2 linked regions of the Neodiprion lecontei genome follow. The protein of the gene in region 2 interacts with the protein of the main gene of each other region in a pairwise test. Links are inferred from orthologs where the notes say so. Each region holds a gene or a part of one and is shown on either strand. Other genes may lie near its edges. The genes, in order: REPTOR-binding partner and protein giant-like.

Region 1 (12,796 bases), on a different chromosome or scaffold from region 2:
AATGTAAATTTGAAAACTGGTGAATTCGAAAAATTAACGACGGAGCCAGTTATTTATTTGTGTTTGCGAGCGATCGCATTTGCCTCATTCTGCTAATGGCCTTTCGGAATTTTCACCAGTTGTGTATTCTAAATTCTACAACTTTAAATTTCGATACTTTTATATTCTATTTCCATTATTTCTGGCTTAATGAAGATTCACCACTTTGTTCTTTCGCGATTGTGAATTATCGATATATTTATGTCCGGAATTCTGATCATTCTGATTTTTGGTTTTACTGATTTTTTACCCGCACCGAGGCTTCCTGGTGGCGATGATTCACACGCGAGGTTCCCATCCTGAACCCACCAGGTTGACGTGACGTGGTTCGCTCTTCCTTATGATGGGCTTGTTGCACGCTGCAGTCCTTCGACCAAGTGAGGGCATCACTTGCGGTATCGTAGAATTTAAGAAGGAATAGCGGACCGTTGTAGCTGGTTCAGCTCCAGGCTGATAAGAGTCGTCGACGGGAGGCTTCGTTGTGGATTTGAAGCACAGTCCTGTACGCCATCGGCGACGCGTCCAGGCAGCAGTGGCGATATTCGATGGGTTGGCTCCTGGCCGAGAAGTCTGGATAATTGGAGGTCTTCGTTGTGCTTCACGCACGACCCGTACTCAATTTGAGTAGACCTCCATCTGGAGTCGAAATGGCGGTATTCTGCCCTCTGTAGCTGACTACATTGCTGTTGATCCGCTCCGTGACCTCTGCGTTGCGATATCAGGTTACCCCGAAGCGATGTCCTTCAAGTTTGTTCTCGTAGCGCGGTACAAAATTAGAAAATAGACAAAAATTAGCTCGGTAAATGAATCTTTTCTTTAGCTAGTCGTTCTATTTGGAGCATTGGCCTCACGATCAGACGTGTCTTCGTTGTTTATGATTCATTTATTTTGTGATGTAAGAAAATTTACATTACCCTTTATCAGATAAGCACATGAAATCGGACGAAGAAAAGATCATAGAACTCCCAAAAAGGAGACTGAATTTCAACTTATTCGTAAACAAATGAATGATATAAATTTACACGATCGTCAAAATAAAACGGTTTGTTTATTAGAAGTGAAATTTTTTGTGGATATGAAATATTATTTATTGAATTTTTAACAACATGAGAATAGACAAAGCCTTTTGTGTGGATATGAAGATTGCGCGAATCCATTCCAATAGCTTCCTGGAGCAAACTGGGCGAGAACAAAATAGAGGTAAATTTGTCCGCTGATAATAGAAGTTGACCAAAGTTTAAGAAATACAACACATTTGGGTAACGTTTATAAGCACGTGTTTTAGCGATTCTGTTATAAAAAGGTCGACAATAAAGATTGCGCAACTTTCAGGCGTCTATTAGTTCTCTCACGGCTTGATATTATTCAAAGAGGATCTAAAATTTGTTCCCATTACACTCTCAATCGGATATCTGAATTGAATGGCGATATCTTCGTCCTCCGATTCTGCGGGAATCTCGGTGAGCGGTTTTCGAAAACAGTTTGCCAACTCTTCGTCGCTGAGTGTTTTGTCATCGATAATTTTGATTTCCGTCATGTGTTCCAGCTGCATGAACACGGATTACTGGCTGTTAAGAAATTATCAACCATATCAGAAAATATCGAAATTATAGACATCCAACGATAGACATAAGTTTTCAAATTTACACGCACATTTTTCGCATTTCTTTATCAACCCAGTAATAGATACGTGGACGCCAGGAACGAGAGCTGGGTATATCGATGCGATTATTTGCCATTGTGCGCCGCTTATAAAACAGCAGGTTCTTTGTCCTATAGTTATCGTAATGAACAGCACGAGTATCCTAGTTGCAACAGCTAGATACATTTCTCAATTTTTCATCTTTATTATCTTTAAGTATTCAGTCTGCGTATTACTTTGGATGCTCTGATATGCTGTAGCGTATTTTATTTTGATTTTTTCTGGTATCTTCGGAAAAGGTCTATCCGCGTTATTGAAAAGTCCGTGGCAAATGATGTGCGTGTTGTCCTTTGAACAGACAAATCATAGTCATCGAAACCCTGCTCAATTTTGTTGAATCACTGATTGTTCGCAACCGCTTTGATGCTGACGAACGCGATTGTTTGATAGAAATGTTCAAAAACTGCGGTGAACCATGATACATTTTTTGGTTTATAAGTGATTATTTGTAATGGTTTTTACCTCGTTATATTTTACGAGGTGAGCAATCATAGAAATTTAGTCCGCCCATAGTAAGACTGCGTTGATGATTACAAATTTGAATAAACTGAAACTCCGTTTCCGGCAAACGTTTGTTTACTCGTGATTGAAATCACATATCCTACGATATGCGTGAAAAGTAAATATTTTCAATAAAACGGTCGAAAATGGCTTAAGGGATCGTCTCAGTGTGACACTCCGAAAAATCACTGATTTTCGCGAATTTTTTTTTTAATGTTCACATAAACTAATCGGTCCGGTTTTTTTTTCATAAATAAATACGTTTATGAAGAATACAAAATGATTTTTTTAAAGTTTATTTATTGAGTGCATCATTGTTGTATAAATTATTGTAATTTCACGTGAAAAAAAAAGGTGCTGCACGGTTTCCACGATGACGGCCGCAATTTTGATCTGAAAAAAAAATTTCAAAAAGATTATTGATCTGTAGGAAAGTCGCTATCGCGCTATGGAGGGTTTTTTTTTTTTTCAAATTTGACAAAATGGCGGCGGTTTGAACAAAAAGTGTCGAATGTGGCCCTTTTTTTCGACAGTTTTTCGTCAAAAAAATAGGAAGTTTTCAAAAAAAAAAAGCTTCCATAGCGCGATAAAGAATGACGTTTAAAATGTTCTCCCGAAATTGGAACTAGATATCTTTAAAACTCTTCCTTTGAGAGTGGAAACCGTTTTGAAAAACACCATTCTGAGAAAAACGCGTTTAAAGATTGAAGTTGGAAAAGTTTATATAAATCGTTTACTTACGATCAATCGGCGATGCCAGGTCTTGATTTTTTTCTTGGGGGTTTCTCTCGTACGTCTATCCGTGGTGGATGTCAAAAACGAACTGAAATGCTTGGACAGTTTATTCTGCAAGGTTATAGAACCTAAGCACCTTAGTACTCGCGCAGGTAGAAAACCCGTTCCCTTTCTACAAGAAACGCTGTAGCGACCGTAATAATTTGAATTTCGATTTAAAAATTTGAGAGAATGTTTAGAACAGTGTATACTATACGATAATGCAAAAAAAAAAAAACAATTTTTTGAAAATTTCACACTGAGACGATCCCTTAAAACTGGAAGAAGGTTTACGCAGTTTTTGGATAAAATATAAACTGTGTCCCGTTCTATCATATCTGATTCTTGAACACAGAATGCGAAGTCTCAGGTGACTAAAGTTATTCTATTTTGCTACAAAATTATCAGGTACCGCATTTTGCCCGGCGAACCCGTCTCGAGGAGCAAGAATTCTTGGCTTCCGCCATTAGATTTTTATCTTATCACAGTTTCGAAGTTATAGCGTATTCTCCTCATACTGAACAACCTCTTCTAGAATTGCGGATTGTGTCAGCGCTGGAACTTTGCGTGCCATTTCACCGTTCAGTTTATACTATTTTCTCAATCTCTACAGTTTTTTCCAACCCGTTCAGATTCGTCTTGCGATGAAAAGTTGCCGAATGAGGCGCGCGAGTGCGTTCTCTCCTAAAAGGTTAATGTGAAGATCGAATCTCCAAGTTCTTGAAATATATCGAGCACATTGTTGGCATTTTATACATTCACTGATTGGTCGGTGTGTGATATGTCAGTTTGACAGTTGGCTCAAAGAATATAACCGCATTTTTGAAATCGCCATGCAAATCATTGCGAACATTTCATTGATCAGCGAAAAATATCCACGAATCGCTTGAAATTTCATTCACTTGAGTGTCCCGAAATTCCGGGTTATCAGACGTTTTGTTCGTCGATAAATTGAGTATTGATGTCGAAAGTAATGTAAAATTTTGAGGATTCGTTTCCACATTGAAACGCAAAGCAAAAATAAGTTCACGTTAATCTCTGATCACTATTATACGTGTATGAATGTAACAGATGTGAATATAACCGTGTTTTGTCACCCTCGCGGAAAAAAAAACCCTCGACTTGGGTGTAAATTCGTACCCTCAACTTTTTTCTTACGGGGATTTAGCATTATCTATGAGTTTAGGGTACGAATTCATACCTAAGTTTAGGGGTTTTCCCGTGATGGCATCGTCGTTGCGCTGTACTGTCTGTGGTGTCAGTTTGATAGTTGACGCGTCGTTGTGCTTAAATGCATGTTGAAAGTAATGACAGGTCAATCATCATGCCTATAAAAAGTGAACGAAAGCTGACAAGCTGTATGACAGAATGGACGTGAACGCTGCACCTAATGTGTACTTGAATAATCGCAAATGCTTCGTAGATCTTTAGAATATAAAAGAACCTAGTACATTTCTTTGTTCGTGCTCGCAACAACTTTTCCGATTATAGTTTTCCGATTTAAGTTGCTTGTAGTCCACCATGGTAGCGCTAGCGGCTGGAGAGCTAACGACAAGATACCTGAAAGACCGAGGGCGGAATGTACGTTGCAAAAGAAACAGTTATGCCTAAAACGCGGTTGCGAAGCAGCTGTCGGTAATATCGACGGCGCGTCTACCGATCGACCGCAAGGCGGTCTCGCAACGATGTTTCTCACTGCTACAAGTCCGTTATTATGAGATCTAAATAGCAAACACTCTAGGGAATGGTGTCACCCTGCATCAAACGTGGGAAGAAAGTAAGAGAGACAAAGACGGATGGATATTTATCGACGCTTGATGACACGGGAGCCACGTGATCAATGCGCGTCATGGAATAAAGTAGTAAGCATTCTTGTCAACCGCCAGCAGCGCTGCATGACGTAACGTATTCGACTGAAAGACCGAGAACCAGCTGCATGACCTTGCGGTGTTTGTAAACATACACACGTTGTCTCTCCAGTGTCTGAAGGAACCAGAGCAATAGGCTGTTGACAAAAAGTGATAAAGTTTTATCTTGCGACAAATAACTAATACTTTTGGACCTGCGATTTGAAAAATGGAAGTTGAACGTATGTGCACCGTCGAAAACGAGTTGGTGAGTAGTTAGAGTTAAACATCGTGCTGACAGCAGGTCAGCATGTATTGCAAAAAGTTGCGAAAAATCAGCAGGAGAAAAAAAAAGACCACAAACCGGAACAAAAATAACTCCTAATTTAATCAATGACGACAGTTGTCCTTCGGTACAATTCGTTTCTTAAAAAACAGGTTAATCGAACTCGCGCAAACTTATTTTTCTGTATTTTCGTATCGAGCAAATCGGTGTAGACAAAGGGCGTGTGTCTGTCACTTCGTACGTCAGGTAAGGGGTGACGCGCGGCGGAGGGAAAATGCAGGGGGGTGATGTTTTTCGTCGGTTGGCTCCATAGATCCGTCTGGCTCCCTCCTCCCTCTCTCCCGCCCCTTCCTCCTTGCGCATTCTAGCACCTGTCGTCCACTTGCCAAACTATAAAATTTACATTTTTGCCGATAGTTGTCGCTGGCGGACCGCTTCGTTATTTCTGTATTCTGTATAAGTTAGTAACTTTGTCGTAGCGAAACGTGGAGAAAAAAATGACTGTTTTCTTGTTCTTTCTATGATTTTGAAAGAAATAGAATTGCAAGATACGAGTAGATTTCGTTTTATTACGGTTTACTGAATTTCAAACAGTTTGAAATTGCGAGGTATCGGTTTTTCCTCCGCACGAATCGTTACGGTACCGTTGCTAACTTCAACGTGATTTTAGGTGAGAGTGTCACGTGGTTTGGTATGCTCATTACTTACTCATCGGACGATGATGCTCGCGGCGCTTCATTCCTTTCCAAGTTATTATTTGTCAAGTTCGTGACAGATACAGGCGTAAAATACCGAATCGATAGCTATGAGCGTGTTGTACAGGAATTATATGTTATGACCGTCAGAATGCCGAACATTCTGACGATTCCTTCATTCGCACAACAACAGGTTTACTCTGATTGATGACAAATTACATTGTTTATGAGTTCCGTTAGATCTAACTTGCAATTAAATATTTCAGCTCCTCTTGAAACTCAGAGCTAAAGTAATAGACGAACGAGTGATTCGAGTGCACGGTATTGTATGAACTGAAAATATTAATTCAAACCATTTGAAACTAAATATTATTTCGTTCTACCCATAGACGCATGTTACTATTCTAATTATAGAACGAGAACAGATAAGACTCGGGTTTCTTTATCTGCGTATAACATTTTTGTAGAAAGGCGGTCAGCTTTAAAATAGTGTTGGAATAATGGGATCGTTGACTTCTGACATCAAGAAGTGTTGATAATTATTACATTCTATTTACCATCATATGATTTTTTATGTCGATAGGAATTTTGGGTTTATTTTCTCATTTCATAAAAAGGATTGAAACCCACATGTAGTTTTAGATTTTTCAAAATCTGAAGGTACAGTTTATAATGAAATCAGAACACGAATTTTCAGTATCGTACTCGATGAATGTGGCTATGAATAAAACTGCGTAAAATAGAATGAAACAATAATGGAGACGACTCAATATAGGCCTCGTAGAGATTGCCGATAGTCACTGATAATCTGCCGAACAGCTCGTGTCCGTACATTATGTATGTCATGCAGGTCTATCGATTTTGATGCATTCATCTTGCTCAAATGCATGCAACTGCAACGCAATTTTGTACGTGACGCGCGTAGCCAAAGAACAGGATACGACGCTATATGTCAGTGTGAATTGGGTACTATGGTGATACTTTTAAAAATAAATTTTATGGTAATTTAGAAGTTCGATTTCTCGAATTTTCAGTATTCAGTAACAGTACGTTAGCTTCATTGTGTCATGAATTATAGTCACGTTCGATGTGTATTGAAAGAGAAGGAAGTATAAAGTTAATAAATATGATTGCATCAAACTTGGCGAACTACTACAAATGAATATTTTTTTTATATCTAATCGTTTTTGAGTAAAAATGTGTTGGTAATAATGAATTTTGTCTGATAATAAACGTTTTCCAATCTCAAATGTTAGTCAATTTTTAAATTAAAAATATCCTTCGAAGAATTCTTTTTGAAATACGCCTCAACGCAGTCCAAATTATTGTTAATCTAATTAAAATGTTTCTATCTGTTATGAATTGTTAGCAAATTTACTGAATGCGATCAAATTTGAATTAATGCTCCGACATTAGAACAATTATCGGAATCTTTGTCTCATAAATGCGCAGTTCAATCACGAAAGTGTTGATGAGATTGATAAAAATTAATTATTTTCAAATAAATAGACAACCTTATTGATTGATTAGTTAAAAATCAGACTTGAAAATAATTCTTGGGTAATTTTTTTCAATTTAATATGAATGCGATTAATATTGTAACAACGGGGAAAATTAAGAAAGGACTAAGAGAATCAAAGAGTTCTCTGTGCGATTTAAGCGAACGCCGAGCCAAAGAGTTCTCTGTGCGATTTAAGCGAACGCCGAGCCAAAGAAGTCTCACGAACAAGGAATATTTTAGAAAGAAAATAGATGTATTTGGACACGAAGTTCTCTTTTTAAAGTCTAGAGATTGACTGCTTTTTACAATAATGTCGGTTGACGCAGCAACCTTATTCTTTTTAAAGACATAAGAGGTTTATAAACGTCTTTTATCTATGATGACTACTAGATCATTTAAAAGGGGACAAAACGGGTGATTTCACCCTTTTTAACAATATACTATTGACCAAAAAATTAGTGTCTACTACCTCGCTTTACTATTTTGATTTAACATCGTTGCGAAAAAACTATAAATCCTGAAAAATTTGTATTCCCCTAAATTAGCATAAAAGTAAATTTTAGCGGGTTTATTTGAAAACACCCAAAAAAGGTTCTTCACATAGTTTAACCCATTAATTCTTATACACCATAGTGTACAACCTCGATATTCGTTTTTTACGATTTTCTCGAAATTACACCGTCTATTAAATAACCGTCAAGCATATGAAATCGGGGGTAACATTTTTTAGAATTATTCTCGCTTTGCGAGGAAAACAAAAATTACGAAGAGAGAAAAGAAAAAACAAACTCAATATCAGAAACACGTTCAAAACATCTCAATATCGTCCAAACAGTGTTTCTTTACTCAAATAAAGACATTCTATGCTAATATTGTAACTTTAAAGTGAACGGGGCTAATCAAAGCGACAAGTTTTTCCAGAGCAGCCGTTGCCCGGCTGCCAAAATGCATCTGCGCTTGCACACGTAAAATACATTCGAAAAAGAATAGCAGGAATCGTTACAAGATAAAGCAGATTATCGAGCGCCGCGTCGGTTAGTTTCCCTGGATTCGGTAGAAAATTCGAACGCCGTTCGAATCGCTTCCCGCTTTCCTCGCGGGCGGCGTCGTGGCACGGCGGTTATTGCGTGAACACGCGTGTCTACACGCGCGCATTTCGACGTTAGAGCGCGCGACGGTCGCAACCGTTTCTGCCGGCTTCCGTCAACGGTGGTTCTCGCTCTAGCCTTTCGTTTCAACTGCGCAGTTGGCGAGCCTCGGTACGACGCGGAGCATTGGTAAGTCTTTTCTTTTTACCGCACAACTCGTAACTTAGAGCGGCGGCGTTCGTGATGCAGCAGGGGGTAACCCTGAGGGTGACGGGCGCCCCCGAGGGTGGCTTCGATTCTCAACCGAATCGTTACGCTCCTGCGATCGTGCAGCGCCCATCTCGAGGGCACCGGCCCCTTAACTGACGCTGTCAATAACCCTCGCCCTCCTCAGAGCTTTTCTTTTTGCTTTTTTCTTCTTTGCTTTTCTTTCACTTTGCGAGCGATAAATCCGCGGGCAATTGCCTCTCGACGTTTGCGAGTCTCTGACTCGGCCTAAAACTGGGTCGGAGACGAGTTTCATTTATGGTTTGTGTTATTCCTTAGCAGGCTAAATCCCCTGCTCTCTGCGTAGATCGTGAGACGCACTGGCTTGGACAAATCCGTTTACGGTATCTACGCGCTGCTTAAATCCGCCCCACCGCGACGTCCCTGACCTGATTTAAAATTTATTCTATAATCGCTCGTTCAACGCAGCACCGACAGCGGACGCGATAGATGTCGGTATGCAGTTTTTCGTTGCATAATAGGTTCATCCAGGTGGTAGAAAGAAGAGCGCACAACGATATTGAGTAAATAATAACACTTGTCGAGTACTCCATATAGGTAATAACAAAGTACTGAATTTCTTTCGTATTTCTCTAAACAAATTTTTATTGGAGTTATAACAAGAACGGTGATCGAATGGAATAAATTTTTTTTTTCATTTGAATGAATGTGGCTTCACTTGATGAACAGAACCCCTTTTTCCTGGATCAAATGACATTTTTTAGAATCAAGAAAAAAAAAAAAAGAAAATTCCCTTGCTATATTTGGTAAATTCAACAAATTCATTTTCCGTACGTTTATCTTAAATGCGTAATGACTTTAGTTATTTTACGAGTAAAATTTCCCCATAGTGTGGCCTCTTTTTGTACAACCACCTCAGCTTTAATTTGGGATGGTTACCAAAAGAAATTTGTCGGTCGGTTGACATTGATTTTCTTATCTCATCAACCGTTTTGATAACAACTGCGACATGTTTGTAGGTTTACAGTTTTCGTATTACGTCCAACGTGCAATAAGCATTCGGTTTCTCGAATCACAGCCCTCAGTTATTTTTTATTTACCGTTAACGTTTTTCAAACCATTGAATGTGAAAAAAACATTTTATACTTCACTTCCTACCGTTGCATACCAAAAAGCAAATCTTATTTTCACTACGGATAAAATTATACTTGTCGAGTATTGTATAATGATGTATAACATATTACAAGTACATGCACCGCTTATTTTACTATTCGTTATGTTTGTTGTTATCGTAGCCGGTCACGTTCCGTAACGTAGCTGAGCTATGTGCGGCACTTTACGTGTGTACAGCTTGAGTTAGGTGCTAGTATACCTACATTATCCATACATGTACGTGTATGGACAGCGTTGAAGTCAGTAACGTTAAGATAACGAAACATGAAGAAAAAATCATTGCCGTGTAATTTCTGAATGACCTTCAAGAAGTTAGCTTTCAAAATTATGAGTGTAATTTGTTTATAATGGCTTACCAAATTTCGGACGATCTCAAGGCGCGAAGTTACGATTTTTGCCAAACATGCATTGTTGGAGTAACGTGACTAACTTCGTCTTCACTATCAATGGTGAATAACCTACGCAAATACCGGATAAACGTGTGTCTGCTATGAGCCGGGTGTTCGTTAACATGATTATTATCATTTTTAATGCGTTATTCTTTCCAATTCTTTCTTTGTACAACTCCGTATTGATTTTTCGGTCTACTTATAGGAAGCCAGATTTTCTCTTGATGAGGTCAGTTTTGAATTTATAGAGTACGAACAGTAAAATTCGCAGGAAATAATTAAAAATCACAATCGGACGTTGACAAATGTACGGGATTTGTCAACCCTATTTTGAATTTATAACATGCAGTGCAATACAAATTGGTCTACCTACCTGATCGTGGTTGACTATGAATTTTGTTCTCAAACGAATTAATTATCGAAATTTCGTCCGCAGTGTATTTTTCAACATCAATGGCTCAATATTTTATTATTCGGTTGATGTAGTGAGATGCGGCACTTGGTAATTCGGAATCTCCGTCACACACGGCCAATGCGTTAATTTTTGGACGATATAAAAGTATGATTGTTCCCATAAGAATTGGACAATTTTATAAAACATATACGCATTGTGATTGGCAAAAGATAAGCGAAAACACGGTTAAACCTTCCTGTGGATGATAATGATTTTTTTGATATATCTACAATCCTTGATGAACCAAAAGCGAGGATATTGAAGAGAAAACTTTCCAACTCGTTTGCAACGCATTTCATCATTACAATAATCGTTATAACGTGTAAGAGATGCAATGTAATCAAGAACCCATTGTCGAAATTTTCCGTAGAATTGTGCATAGTTAAGGATCGATCCGAACTCCAACGGTTTTTTAAGAGGGTTCCATGGTTAGTCTAAGCTGTAATTTTGCGAGATTTTGCGAATCACGTGTTTTGCCCATGACAAACATTTTGCGTAAAATCAATGGTCGAGTTATTGGCAAACGCAAATTACCAACAATTGTAGGATAACGATTTATATGGTTTTTTCGTTTCAGTGATGTGTAGGCCTAGGCAATAATTCTATAACTGACACCCCCGCACCATACGATGCAAAATAATTCAATTTTTTCGCTGCTAACTTGAACACATTTTTTGAATATTTAACTCTTTAATTTTCAATAATAAGATTCATCCATTTCATGTCGCCGTTCAGGGTATCTGCAATACAGCTTGGAAATTTTTTAGTTTATTTTGATTTTTCCTTTGTAACAAATACCCTGTACAAGTGCAGTAAAGTTTGAATAGTGTACACGATAATAATGAACGCTGTGTTCGCTTGAGAAAAATTGTAAACGATAGATACGTATGTACATATTTAGGAAGTGTCCGTTTCAGAACATGTCACATTATCGACAAATTTAACTTGAACGACATTTATAGTTGCGTTTTTAAATCTTGTGCACACATTTTTCATTATATTTTATGATATTTCTTCATACGTTGTTTACTTTGTTCGATGATTTGACGGCTAGGGTACTTTTAGTCTGTTTACATCTCACACGATCGAAAGATGAAATGCTCAAAAATGTTTCACGAATGACGAAATACCGATAATTCGATCGTGTTTAATTTCCTCAGCTTGCGCGATATAGCTCTTGGTATATTCGTTCCTTGCTTTAGTCCAGAGTGACGAACTACATTGATTAAATTATGTGATACCTTCTCTGAGCTTTCGCAGAAACAGTTTGAAACTTTGCCGGTCTTGCAGTTCCCTGTGGAATCCGCCGTGTACTACATGACATTACACGATTATATCTGGCCGAATTTCGAGTTTTAAATTTGCCTTAAAAATTCTTTCTCTTTATTTTATCAAAGCAAAACTATATTCCAAAGCATTTTTTATTTTTTTTTTGTACCTATATATATTCTGGATAATAAATTATCGTTGATTTCGAAGTATTACCAGTTATCGGCTTGTGATGATTTTCTTCATAACGACGACGGCTTTGAGTTACAAATTCCCTGGATATAAAATGTTCATTTTTACTCTGAGTTTATGAAAAATTTGAACTACCGCAAACAATGACGGTATGTTTTCAAAATTGAACAAAATTGCGGATTCCCAAAATACACCGTCTTTTATTATGAACTTTTTTTATTTTTAAATCGAAAATTTTTACACCTGAATCAATACCGAACAAATTTTTCTTGACTTGGTATTAATTTTTTTTTATTAGGATGTTCTGAAATGAGCGTAAATTTAGCATCCAGAATTTCCAAATAAACCAAAGTCAAATTTACTCTTGACATTTTTAATTTCAACTTTGTCTAGCCAAGTTGGATCATATTCACTAAAAAGTGCATCACAGGAGTAAAATTACGTCGAAAAACATGTATGTTTCAATTTTCATTTCACACATCACTTTTTTGTTATTTTTGTTCGAATTGAGTGCGCGCGATTACAATTGGGATTATCGAAAATAAATTCAACTGTAATATTTGAAAATTCTCCGTGCAATAGTCAGTTTCATTTCAGAAAACCCCAATTCAAAAATGAATATTAAAACAAGAAAAATGCGCCCTGTATCGACGGGGTG
Region 2 (12,081 bases):
TCCAGAGATTTAAATATTTTTTAAATTGTACTAGTTTGGTCGAGGTTTGAGTAATATTTAGAGTGCAGGTTTCTGATGTTTCTCAGATTTTTCGCATAGTTCTGCAAACAAAAACACTTTTCCGACATATTGGTGTTAACAGCTAACGTTAATAATTTTTCTCAAAGATGAGCAATCAATGATTGGACACAGAAAGTTCCAAGCTTTCGGAAGATTTTACAATCAATTATTTAATTTTTCTTGACATCTGTATCTTTTCACACGCTTTTCACTTGACAATAATAAAAATCTATCACGCACACTTGTAACACTGAAGAACACTAAGGCTAAATATTCCAAAGAAGACCTTTTCGTACAATAAGGATGATTATGATTTGTGAAAAAGTGATCTGAATGTTCAATTACAAATATGTGCGAAAAATTTCCCGGGTTACCTTCTCGATATACCACATCCGATTACCGTTTTTGGTACTCCTTTTATTGCAGGTAGCTAGAAACCACATATCTCTTTGAACAGCCTCCTCTACTGTTTCAACTCCACCTTTCGGGCATATAACAACATAGTCAATTCTGATTACTTGAAATTAAATGAATGTGCAACAGTGCAAGGTGTAAATACACTCCCTTCAAATTCCTTCGATGCGGAATAGCATATTATTACTATGTATTTCGGCAAAGTAGTAGCGATTTAATAGTTAAAGTGAATGTACTATTATCTCGCGCTTGTTGCAGATTCATGTCAATCGCTATTTCGAGTCGTCCTCATAGATTTAAAACGCATTCTTGCAGTGATTAATTAATTCGCGGATCTCACGTTAATGATCCAGTATCTATCGCTATCTCTCTAAACACTATGAGTATCTTTCACGAAAGGATAAAAATTGACTTTACGGATAATGTTGCGTCGGAAACATGATTTAATGAATTGACAGACAATTCCCCTTGAAAATCAGTTACCGAAAAACATTCGTTGATTTTTCAATAATGTCGTTTATGTAATTCTGAACATTTCAAAATTTGCATTGTGAGAACAACATTTATCCCGTATTCTTTAACACTTTGAAGAACCATGAATTGACAATAGTCAATATTTAGCATTTACAATCGAGAAGAAAAATATGTTTCGACAAGTACGTCAATATTATGCATAAGGTGAAATAATTATTTTTTAGCTAGTTGACGTCACATTTCCAAAACTTTGTATTGCTGCAACACAATGTTAACAGCTTATCAAAATTTAAAGTAAATCTATAAGACTTTTATTCTTCATTCCAGTTAATTTGCAACGAGCCTCATGATAGATTCATTTTCATTATTCATTTTTATATTTATTCAAGCACTTGCGTAATTTTTCGCAATTAAAACCCAATTACCGCTTCCAAAATTTGGAAAAAACCGAGAAAATAGGATCGACCTTCTACATATCTTCAACGTGCATATAGCAAAGAGAAAAGTATTTCAGAATTTTTCGTATATTTTCAATACTTAGGATATTGAATTTTTTCAATTCATAATTTTAAAAGTGGTCAACAAATAAAAAAAACAATATCTTCATAGGCACATTCCTGAAACGATTGCAACTAAAAATGAAGTAGTTCAAAGTTTAAAAAAATATTTGCAGCTTAATTTAAAGTTGACTTTGTCAAAAACTTTGATCAAATAAATTGAGCATCTTAGAGATGCTACTGCATGTCGCCTAAAAAAGATTCCATCTATTCAGATAAATTTAAACGACACACGTTCATGTATTTGACTGACATATATTTTCCCGTTGTATAATTTCGGCGTACATGTTATATTTCTTTTGCGAGATTTTCTCAACATTTCAATTTCACAATGACGACGGTATGTTGCCAACGTTTGCACGCGATAGTTATTGGGTATGAAGAACTTCTTTTACCGGCGTGTAGTAACGAACTTGGTTGCACGAGGCTTGCGTACACGCGAAGCTACCTTAGAAAGTATATGCTTTAAGGATTAAAGGGACTGAAGGAAATGGATACCGGCTAGTGCTACCACTGACGAATTTAATATTTTGACCTTGATTCGATTCATCGTAGGTTACGGTTATATAGTTCAGCAGCAATTAGCTAAGGATCCAAGGGCATATAATCTAAAATAATTGTGAACAAATGTGAGGTTATGTACGGTTTTATTATTGTTATTGGCACTTGCCGGTCTACAAAGTACAAAGTAACTATATCTAAGCTATCCAAACGCCACGGAAGTCGATTGATTTAACCATGGAAACTTTTTTGACGCAAATTGGAATCGGGCAGAGAGCACCTCATGATAAGTTCTTCGAAAACACTTATAAAACGTGTAAAATTTTCGTTAGAAAAGGTGTTACAATTATCGACGACGAGGAATTGTGCCACGAAGCGTAAGTTTAAAATTTTATAACGATGACTTATTATTTGTTATTGTAATATGGTTTGGTAGATTCCTTACATCTATGATTTTTCACCTTTGTTCACCCCTTGGTTCATTCGATGATACAGATTTAATTTCAGTGTAAAAGAATTCACGTGCAATGTACCTGGGTGCACAGCTACGTTCCAGACGCTTGTTGATTTCGAGGTGCATTATAACGCATCGCATAGATACATTTGCTTGGAGTGCAAAAAGTGTAGACCGAGTGCCAGGCTTTTGGATATACACATAGAAGAAACACATGACAGTTTTTTCAGAGTTTTGGCTGATCGGCAACCGATGGTAGGCTACCTGTAACTAAGTGCCCCTTAAATTTGATAGTGAGATGATTATTATGATGCATTTTGAGAGTTGTAAGTACATAATTATTATTTCAGTATCAATGTTACGTATCCGAGTGCGAAATGAAGTTCAAAACTCTGGCGGATAGACGAGAACACTGTACAACAGTGCACAAATATCCCAAACACTTTCGTTTTGACGAAGGAAATTGGCGGAAGGGCAGAGGGGATTCTGAGGATCAAATGGAAGTTGATAAAGAACCGCGATCCACCAAGTTGCAGAAAAACATTCCTCGTTTAAATAAGAATCAAAAGTGTAGAACATTTCGTCCCAGTGATAAAGAAATATCGTCTAAAAATGTTCCCATAATAGGGACTTTAAGTTCCATGGTAAATGTTGCGTCACCAAATAAGGCATCCTCTTTATCCTTTGTTCCTAGGCAGGTGTCGTCCTATTCAAAAGTGCTTTCAAAGCAGAGTAATTCACACAGGGATGTATTAAATAACGGATGCATGATGGAATTGGCTGATACTCTACCACAATGATTAAAATCTCCAAAACTTTATTTTTACTCTTCAAGGTGGTGCGGACAGAGAATTGTAAAGAATTCTTACCTATTGATATATTTTTCGTAAAATGAACTATCGGTTTCAACTATAGTCTATGAATCAGCAAAACTTGTCATTCGTTTTTATCGTTATCATACGATTAAATACGTAATGGAAATTTTATTGAAGGAAAATGACCGAATAAATTGTATATCTGTTCTAGTTGACAAAAAATGTTTGTATCTTTATTATAAATATAGCATATTATATATGGCAACTGTATTTATCTTTATAACAGAGAATTTTTGAACTCTTGCACAGCAATATGACTCACTTCATTCTTTTAGGCCAATTCTATAATTTATATTTACACTGTATCGATTCTTAAATTTATACTTAACAATATACTGACTATGCCAGTGACGAACTTGTGTGTCATCTGTCAATTATTATGTAGAGGCGATTATTTTTTAATTCTTACGATTTTATCGCTTTTAAGAATTTATTAACATACATTTATACTTGAAGTGTCAATTCCTACAATCAAATTTGACAATAAATTGTGAGGTGAAGCATTTTGTGAACAAATGGATACACAGTGTTGAATAAAAATATTTCGATATCGTGTACATGTTAAGCCAATTTCCATTGTATTTATTGATTACATCGAACACAAGACGCATTACTTTATAAGTTACTCTAACATGTGGTACTGAAAATTTTATTACTAGTCAGGACTGTCTGTAAATCTCTGAAGCGAGTAATTTGAAAAGACCACAGTGTCTGCAGTAACTTGTGAATAATATGCTTCTCTTACAACAATTTATGATTCTTGTAGTATAACTAGGTAAAGTTCAGGATTTGTGTAATGTTCATCGTCTTCAAGTGCACTCAAAACGGAAGTTGCCACAGAGAGCTATAGTTATGAAAACTGTGCTCGGAGTTCGGTAAGAGTATTCTATAAATATGGTACTTTAAATGCAAATTGATGACGAATTGTCAGAAATGTAATAGCGAGAGGAAAAAATTTATTACATTCGTTTGCAAAAAATGTGGTGAACATATCGTATCTACATTATTTCTATGGTTCCAAAGAGATTATTTCAGAGCGTCGTTAAGGTTCAAAAGTCTGTAGCTCAACTTTCTTTACTTTAGAGCAGAGGTGAAAACATGGGTGAACAAAAGCGATAGAAACCAATTTTACTAATTATCAAATGAATCCTGCCAGACGTCAGGCATGCCAGCATTGCCTTCTCAAATGCAGATCTCCTACATAAATCTTGGATAAAAAATATCGGTCGGATATTTTTTAACTCGAGTATACCATGCACCTGAGTTTCGCAGTTTCATTCCTAAGCGCGACCAATTCGACCTTAAGTTTAATGTTTTCCTGCTCCAGAAAGGCAGCGCGGATGGCGATTTCATCCTCCTTCGCTCTCCTAGCGTCTCTGGACCTCTTCGCAGCTTCGTTATTCTTCCTTCTTCTTTCCCAGTATGCAGCGTCCTTGTCATCCATGGTGCTGGTGGGTAGACCCGGGCTTTTGGTTGTCCTCCTCATTTTAATGTTCGTCCCCTCGTTCGTCTTTTTAACGGATTCCAGCATCCGCTTCCTGAACTCGCTATACGCCTCGTTCGCTGTCGGATCGACGGCCAGCTCTGCCTTTCTGGCGTTCAGAGTTAGCGGATCCTTCGGATACGCTTTGAATGGTCTCGCTAGTTTCTTACCTAATTCCTGCGGACTCTGAGCCGGCGTGACCGGCGCGGCGTGCGTTACGGACAAACCGTACATCTGGTTATCCAAGTGCTTCAATTCAGCGGCGCTCATTGACCGACGTCTCGAAATGTGATAACCCTGGCTTATCGCATTGTGCAAATTGGTTTGCAGGGCACTTTGCGTGCTCGCGAGAGTCACTGCTGCGTTTAGACCGAGGACCGGGTATATCGGCATCGGCAAATCGCTCGTAGTTGAGTTTATCTGGTTATATATCGGTTCATACCGAGCTTTTGTCGGCGAGTCGCCCTCCGACGGAGGTGTCACCATGTACGAGCGACCCTCCGACGGGCTTTTCCTTTCATCGTCTACGTAAATTTTAGAACTGCACTTTTCCTCCTCTGACTCGTGCACCGTATTTTGTAACGAGTGTGAGAGTGACTTCTGAGATGAGTCACGTCTACAGGATAAGTCCAACACCGGTACTTCGTAGGCTGAGTCCGATTCTGTTTTCGGTTCGTTCGTGCTCTGCGTTGCTGTGTAATCCAGCGGCTGAATACTTTCCACATCGAGGGGGATCGTTGTGTCCATTGATACGCCCGTTATGCCTGGAAGTGATGAGGAAATAATAATTTTCGTCGCAAGAGCGCGTGAAATAGCAATTTTTTGGCGAGTCTAAAGTGTCGCACGAATAGAAGGTGAGTAGGTATATTAGGGTGGGCCAAAAAAATCGACTATTTTTTTTTTTCACTTTGTACTCCGAAAACTTGGTTGTTAGAGACCTCAAAAACATTCTCTCCAAGTATGAGCTCTTAATTTTAATAGGAAGGTTCTCCGTCTCGCAGTTTTCTATTTTTTTCTCATGGTGAGGAAGAAAAATACATATTTCAGTATCTACTATTTATAAAAAAAAAATGAGTATCACATTTTCGTAGGAAATTGAATTCTCTACAAAAAAGGTCTCTTACAATTTTTTTTGTATACCTTACTGTTCAGAAGATATTCACCGTCAAATTTCAATGCACACTATTTTTAACAGTTTTTTGTTAATAATTCAAACAATTTCAATTTAATTCGTGAGTTTTGGGAAAATTTGTACAAATTTCAGTTTCTGTCGTCGAAGTAACTATTATAGAAGTTCTCTGTTTCAAAAACTTCTCGTAATTTACCATTTTTTTAGTATTTTTACAAATTTTTTTGTTCAATATTTTGAAATCCCAATCATGCTCCTAATTATTTTTATGGCGTTTTTTTAGAGAACATTTTAAAACTTTTTTCAAAAATTATACATAAAATGTTTTGCTCGAGAGGATTTTTGTTTTAAATCCTATCGCTTCGTCTGTTTGGCTTGTGCAACTAACGGCACTGTTAAAAATAGTGTGCATTGAAGTTTGACGGTGAATATCTTCTGAACAGTGAGGTATACAAAAAAATTGTAAGAGACCTTTTTTGTAGAGAATTCAATTTCCTACGAAAATATGATATACATTTTTTTTTTATAAATAGTAGATACCGAGATATGTATTTTTCTTCCTCGCCATAAGAACAAAATAGAAAACTGCGAGGCGGAGGACCTTCCTATTTAAATTAAGAGCTCATACTTGGAGAGAATGTTTTTGAGGTCTCTACCAACCAAGTTTTCGGAGTACAAAGTGAAAAAAAAAATAGTCGATTTTTTTGGCCCACCCTAAGGTATATGCCCTTTAACGCCCTATATGCGAACAAGCCACAAATCGTATTTGCTGTTCTACCTCTTGTCGAAAACGAAAATATCGTATAGGTTTGATTAGCATTAATGCTTAAAAGTCGACTTTCAAAAACAAAAAAGTCAACTCCTAAGCCCTAGTGCTCGTAAAAACTACAGTGCAATGTAACAAGCCCTTCTGCGCCACCTCCAACAACTTGACTACTTTGTAGTTTTTATTAGCACTAGTGCTTTAAAGTAGACTTTTGAAAACAAAAATGTGACGTTTAAGCACTAGTGATGAGAAAAACTACAAAGTAAAGTTGTTGACGGAAGTAGCGCAGAAATGTTAATTATATTACGTGCAGAAAACGATGTAACTAGTTTAGTAGATCTCACGTTGAAGAAAATATTTATATTTTTAATGACTTTCTTTTAGAACACATTTTTTGTCGTCGATCTGAACTTGAGAATAACATTGCCTTGATGTTGTTGAATTAAAAAAAAAATACAATTCTTAACTGCAATCTCAGTAAAAACACACTTTAAATCTGTCTTCCGTACAAGTAAGATAATATAATTTCGATCGCTCCGGACAAATTTGAAAGCCGAAAATCTCAGTTATCAAGAGTCAATTGGGCTAATTATTTCGATTTTTCTTCTTCGAATCACTATTTGAACCGTGTTTTACCGTGGCTATTTGGAAAATTGCTTTCACTATTTCACCACGTTCAACATCAAACGCCTAACTCTTCACCTTGCTATTCAAACTTTAAATTAATAATAACAGAGAATTTTTATGGTCCATACTGTCGGCCGTATGTTCAGTTACGAAAGTTGATGACATTTAGTGAAACGTGAATTCAAATCAACTGTCAGTCATCGAAGAATCAATTCTCCTAAAGCGCGGTTCGAAATAGTGTGATACGACCTACGAAATGCAGATCCTGAATAGCTCAATCATCCGGCAACGCAGTACTTGGCGCAGATAGAGTTGGCATAATTATCACTATGACTCAATCAATCCAATCTAAAGCCAATTTGAATAATTTATCAAACACTTTATCTCGACGGAACACAACTCGCGGGATTTCGTGTTTGGAAAAATTTGCACGCTGCAGTTAATACGCGCGAGTAGAGAGAAAAAAAAAACAAAATATCGTATCCTTTATCGTATCTATTATTAATTTTATTTATCAATAACCGATGCACTGAATTCCTTATACTCATTCTTACCTAACAAGAGAAATCCAAGGTTGCACAGTTATCACTGATACGTATCACAACACTGATCACCAAGTATGTTTGTCCAACACGAGAAATATCCGAATAACCGAGGACGCGAAGATTTCGCAGGAAGCGATGAAAATTTTCGATGGTCATTCGACGACCAAGGAAATCAGTTGTGACTCCAAAGGGTGTACTTTCGCTTTTATACGTCGCAACCACCCTTGCAGGGTCTGCTGGAGAGGGTGGACAGGCCCAGGAGTGGGGGAACTTTCGAGTGACCGTCGAATTGGGGTCTCAGGTGGAGGTGGTGGGAGGCTGACCCTCGGCACGCGTACGCGTAGCCTCGTTACGTCGGCTTTCGCCAAAATTCGAAATAAGGTGGTTTGTATCTAACGTCCTGGTAAATGTTGAAGGTCACATTTCACACATAGAATCAAGTTCACCAACATTTTTGAAACTTTTTATGTACAAACAAGAAAAGCTGCACAAAGTGTGTTGTTTTTTTATTTTTGAGCTCCCAGATGGTTTTGCTCTGCATAAAACAATTAACCTAGATCAAGTCTAACTCCTCGTATCACGATTAACAGGTGCCGCAATGCGTTCGAATATTTTCCATTTGAGTAATACGTGAACAATCTACTTTCTCCGATCAGATACTTATGACATATTATCCACGAAATGAATTACGTTAAAAACAGATTTACGAGTTCAACAGAGTTTAACATAGTTAACTTGACGTACAAGTAAACGATGAGCATCGTTAATTGAGGTACAAGACCTGTTTACTTGTAAACATTCCGCTCCCCCTTTTTCCGCCAAGTTATCACCATGACCCCGAAACTGAAAAGTTGAGTTTTCACTAGATCTCGTCGTTTTAAGGTTTAGAAAAACACCTCCGCTGAACGGACGCTCGCTCAGAGGTCTAGGTACGAGCTGTGTGTGCGTGTGATCAATTTTGTATCCACCGATATTGCAAAATCGATGAATGAATTTTTACGATGTTGATCTCAATCGACGGGGCTTTTTTCAATTTGGAACTGATGAAAATTCGGAACCGATCGAATTAGTAGCTTTCGAGTTATTTAAACGTCAATAGAAAAAAAACCAGATTTTACCGGAAACGCATTCAAGCGGAAAGTTTTTACAGGCTGTCTCATCAATGTCAACCGGATTTACCATTTGTTTTCTTTGCAATACGCTATAATTTTTTCATATTTTGGTGAACTTAGGCTCGCCAAGGAAATATTAAAACGTATGTTCGATATATTGCATCGATATGTGAATTTTGTATTCATCCCGTTCTACAACCAGCGGAGGAATTCGCAAATGAGACGATGTTTACTTGCAGTATGATTTTACCGTGATTCATCAAGGCGTATCAAATTTGTATTACTTTTAGCAAAAGTGATTATCGTGATGAATAATCTCAAAGTGGAAGATCGTCTATCGATTAAACTTGATCATAATATTTGAATTGCGGTCATTGTTGGATCTCGATAATACTAGTTCTCATGACGGATGAACAGAACCTAATTAAATTGCGATATTATGTTTGAATATTGAACAGACCTATATACCTATTATCGGAATACTTTTCGATGAAGCTTGATCGATCGAAACCTCAAGTACATACCAGAGTTAGCTGCGTTCAGTATCAACGCTGTGGGGACAATTTCTGCTGTGCGTAGGCATGAAAATAGGCTAAACTAAACATTGGATTATCTTTATTTTCACAAATAATGGCGCAAAGTACTCGAACTTGGAATGTCTAAGAATGGGGATGTTTTTAGAATTTAAGCACCAGCGGATTCGTGCCGTGCAACTCTTGCTGACATAAGCGAATTAGATTTAAAACGGTACACGCAAATGTAACGGCAGGACTCCGGGTAATCCTAAGGAGACGTCCCACGGTGTAAAGCCATGCACGATTTTTGAAAATCCAGTTAGTTATACGAAGGTTAATTCTGCCTGTGAAACGAGAAAGTTTCAGGCATGAAAGTCTACCAAGTATACGGGTTAAGTTGAAAATTTTGTTAATATCTTACCGAGGGTTAAGTTTAGTTGTAGGTGATCGGAAATTCAGTAAGTACAAACTCCTGCAACAGCAGCGGCCACAAGAAACCCAGTGCCGAAGCTCTTACGGCGCAAACCCTTTGGCTACTTCTGTAATATTTCAATACTTTGTCTCCCAGATTTATGGTTACAGTATTTCAGGTATTATGGAGTTCTTCGGCGCACGACTAACCGAATTTGCGTAAAGCGTCATAAATTTAGTCGAAGGGGTTAAACTCTCTGGAGTAAGAGAAATTTTCGAAATCTCTTTGTGAAATTAGGAATCCCGCTATGCTGTCACCGGATATTAATGGTTTCGACATATTCTCTGTAACCCATATGCGAGGTTCGAATCCTCACACACACACACACACGCACACAGACACACTCACACATATATATCGACAACTCGTGCGTCTACATGCTACTGCAGCGTCCACAAATTTTGACTTTCGTCGAACCCTCCAACGGCATCAATCCTTATTTATTGCTCTGTTATGATCGAAATCGATCGGTTCTTAGGTTAAAGAATAGTCGTAATGCTGCAGTTTTGTTTCCACAAAGAAGGAGAGTGAGGATGACGAACGATATGCGCAACCAACTACCTAATTACGTGGGATTTCCATTGCTCGTTAGTAACAATAATTGGCCACGCTTAGCGTAACTCATCATACCATATAAAGTTATGTCACGCCAAGTACAGAGTTTGTTTTTACGTATGTATATTTAAATGTAATCGACTTCATAAATAGCTCCTCATAGTGAAATAAACTTTGCGGATACAGAAAAAGATCGATTAATCATGCAAGACGATATTGAGGGTGTTTCGGTAAAGTGTTATTCTTACGATTCAATATTCTGGCATTTTTTGTTACAAATTTTAATGAACGTTCGCTAAAATACACAGCAGTGCTTAGAGAATTGTGTAAAATGGCTTGTTCGAGAGTCGATGAGTGATAATTTCGTGTGGTTAAATTTAAATTTTAGCTCACTGATTATACGCAGTTTTGAGTTTAGTTTGTATTCTTATTCCGAACCTACCAGGACTGCCACCCTACACATTTCTATATTCCTGCTGTTTTTTCGAAGAAAAAAAAAAGACAAGGGTACTTATTATAATCACCCCGGAAATGAAAAGTTGCGCTTTCCCTAGATTTCGACGTTTCAAAAGTTTTAAGCCCAGACCCACAATGGGCCGGCGATTGTCAAAAATAGATTCCCTGTCCTCAGTCTCCTTTTTGTGCGGATCTTCGTTTCCTCGAAAATGTTACACTCATACCGAACTTTGCAGTCTACTTCAACGTAGAAACCAGCAGTGTGCGGCGAATAAGTTCTCACTGCAGAAATTTTTATATCCAACACAAGATTTTTGAAGATCCTTTCAGTTTTTTAAATTACGGCATAGCACGGGTTGGTTTTTAAAAATCATGAGTAATACAAATTTACACTTTAAAAAAATTTGTTAAAACTTGTGGGTACTATTTTGGAGCTGGTAGAATCGCATAAAATATTTTCCAACAAAATCAGAAATAGTGAGAGCCCAACGTTGGTACAGTTGGCGTGGAATGCCCGAAGGCATTTTTTGCCTCGAAGGAGAATTATGTGAAAGAACGATGTTGTAATAGAAAAAGAAAATCTCATTACTACCTAACGAACAAACGATTTATTTAAATTGACCCAATGGCATCATTTTGATTTTTTTTGTCTCTTTTTCAGACAGAATGACTGGACTATCAATTGAAAACGGTACTGTGAAAACATTTATACACAGGTATGCCGTACGCAAATCTATAATCGCCCAATTATAAGTGACACGTATAAGCACGCACGGCAGAGTTGTGGAAAAAAAATTTCCCCGAATTATCTCTAATTCACGGACGAACTCCGTATCGATAATATGTTATTCAATTATAACATTATTCTAAAATTGTAGCGCAGTCAGGGCGGTGACAATTTTGTTTGAATAAAATTCCCTGACTTTTCCCGTAAAAAAAATCAGAATTCCCATACATTTTCCCACGAAACTTGGATAATCTTTGGTAGCTTTTATGACCAAAAGCTGCAGAAGTTGTACACCACGAATAGATAAATCTGAACCTACGAACACATAGTATTGCTTTCGTCCACGCAAATAATTAGAA

Evidence for each region.
Region 1: the proteins of protein giant-like (region 2) and REPTOR-binding partner interact in a two-hybrid assay, tested with the Drosophila melanogaster proteins (2 studies listed by BioGRID, with this or other methods). The link is inferred for Neodiprion lecontei from reciprocal best matches to the Drosophila melanogaster genes gt and REPTOR-BP.

What each region holds. Positions count from the first base shown.
Region 1 is NC_060260.1:12,368,190-12,380,985, forward strand, and holds the start of REPTOR-binding partner, read left to right. Parts: upstream 1-4,937; 5' UTR 4,938-5,092; coding exon 5,093-5,131; intron 5,132-5,232; exon of another isoform or gene 5,233-5,539; intron 5,540-5,857; exon of another isoform or gene 5,858-6,006; intron 6,007-8,468; exon of another isoform or gene 8,469-8,622; intron 8,623-12,796. UniProt on the Drosophila melanogaster protein: Transcriptional regulator that acts in the TORC1 signaling pathway to regulate energy homeostasis and promote survival during nutrient deprivation.
Region 2 is NC_060263.1:21,611,472-21,623,552, forward strand, and holds protein giant-like, read right to left. Parts: upstream 5,566-12,081; coding exon 4,573-5,565; 3' UTR 3,900-4,572; downstream 1-3,899. Other genes in the region: zinc finger protein 511, read left to right, coding at 2,244-2,383, 2,514-2,715, 2,811-3,260. UniProt on the Drosophila melanogaster protein: Represses the expression of both the krueppel and knirps segmentation gap genes. Binds, in vitro, to the krueppel regulatory elements CD1 and CD2. It is required in the early embryo for the development of portions of the head and abdomen.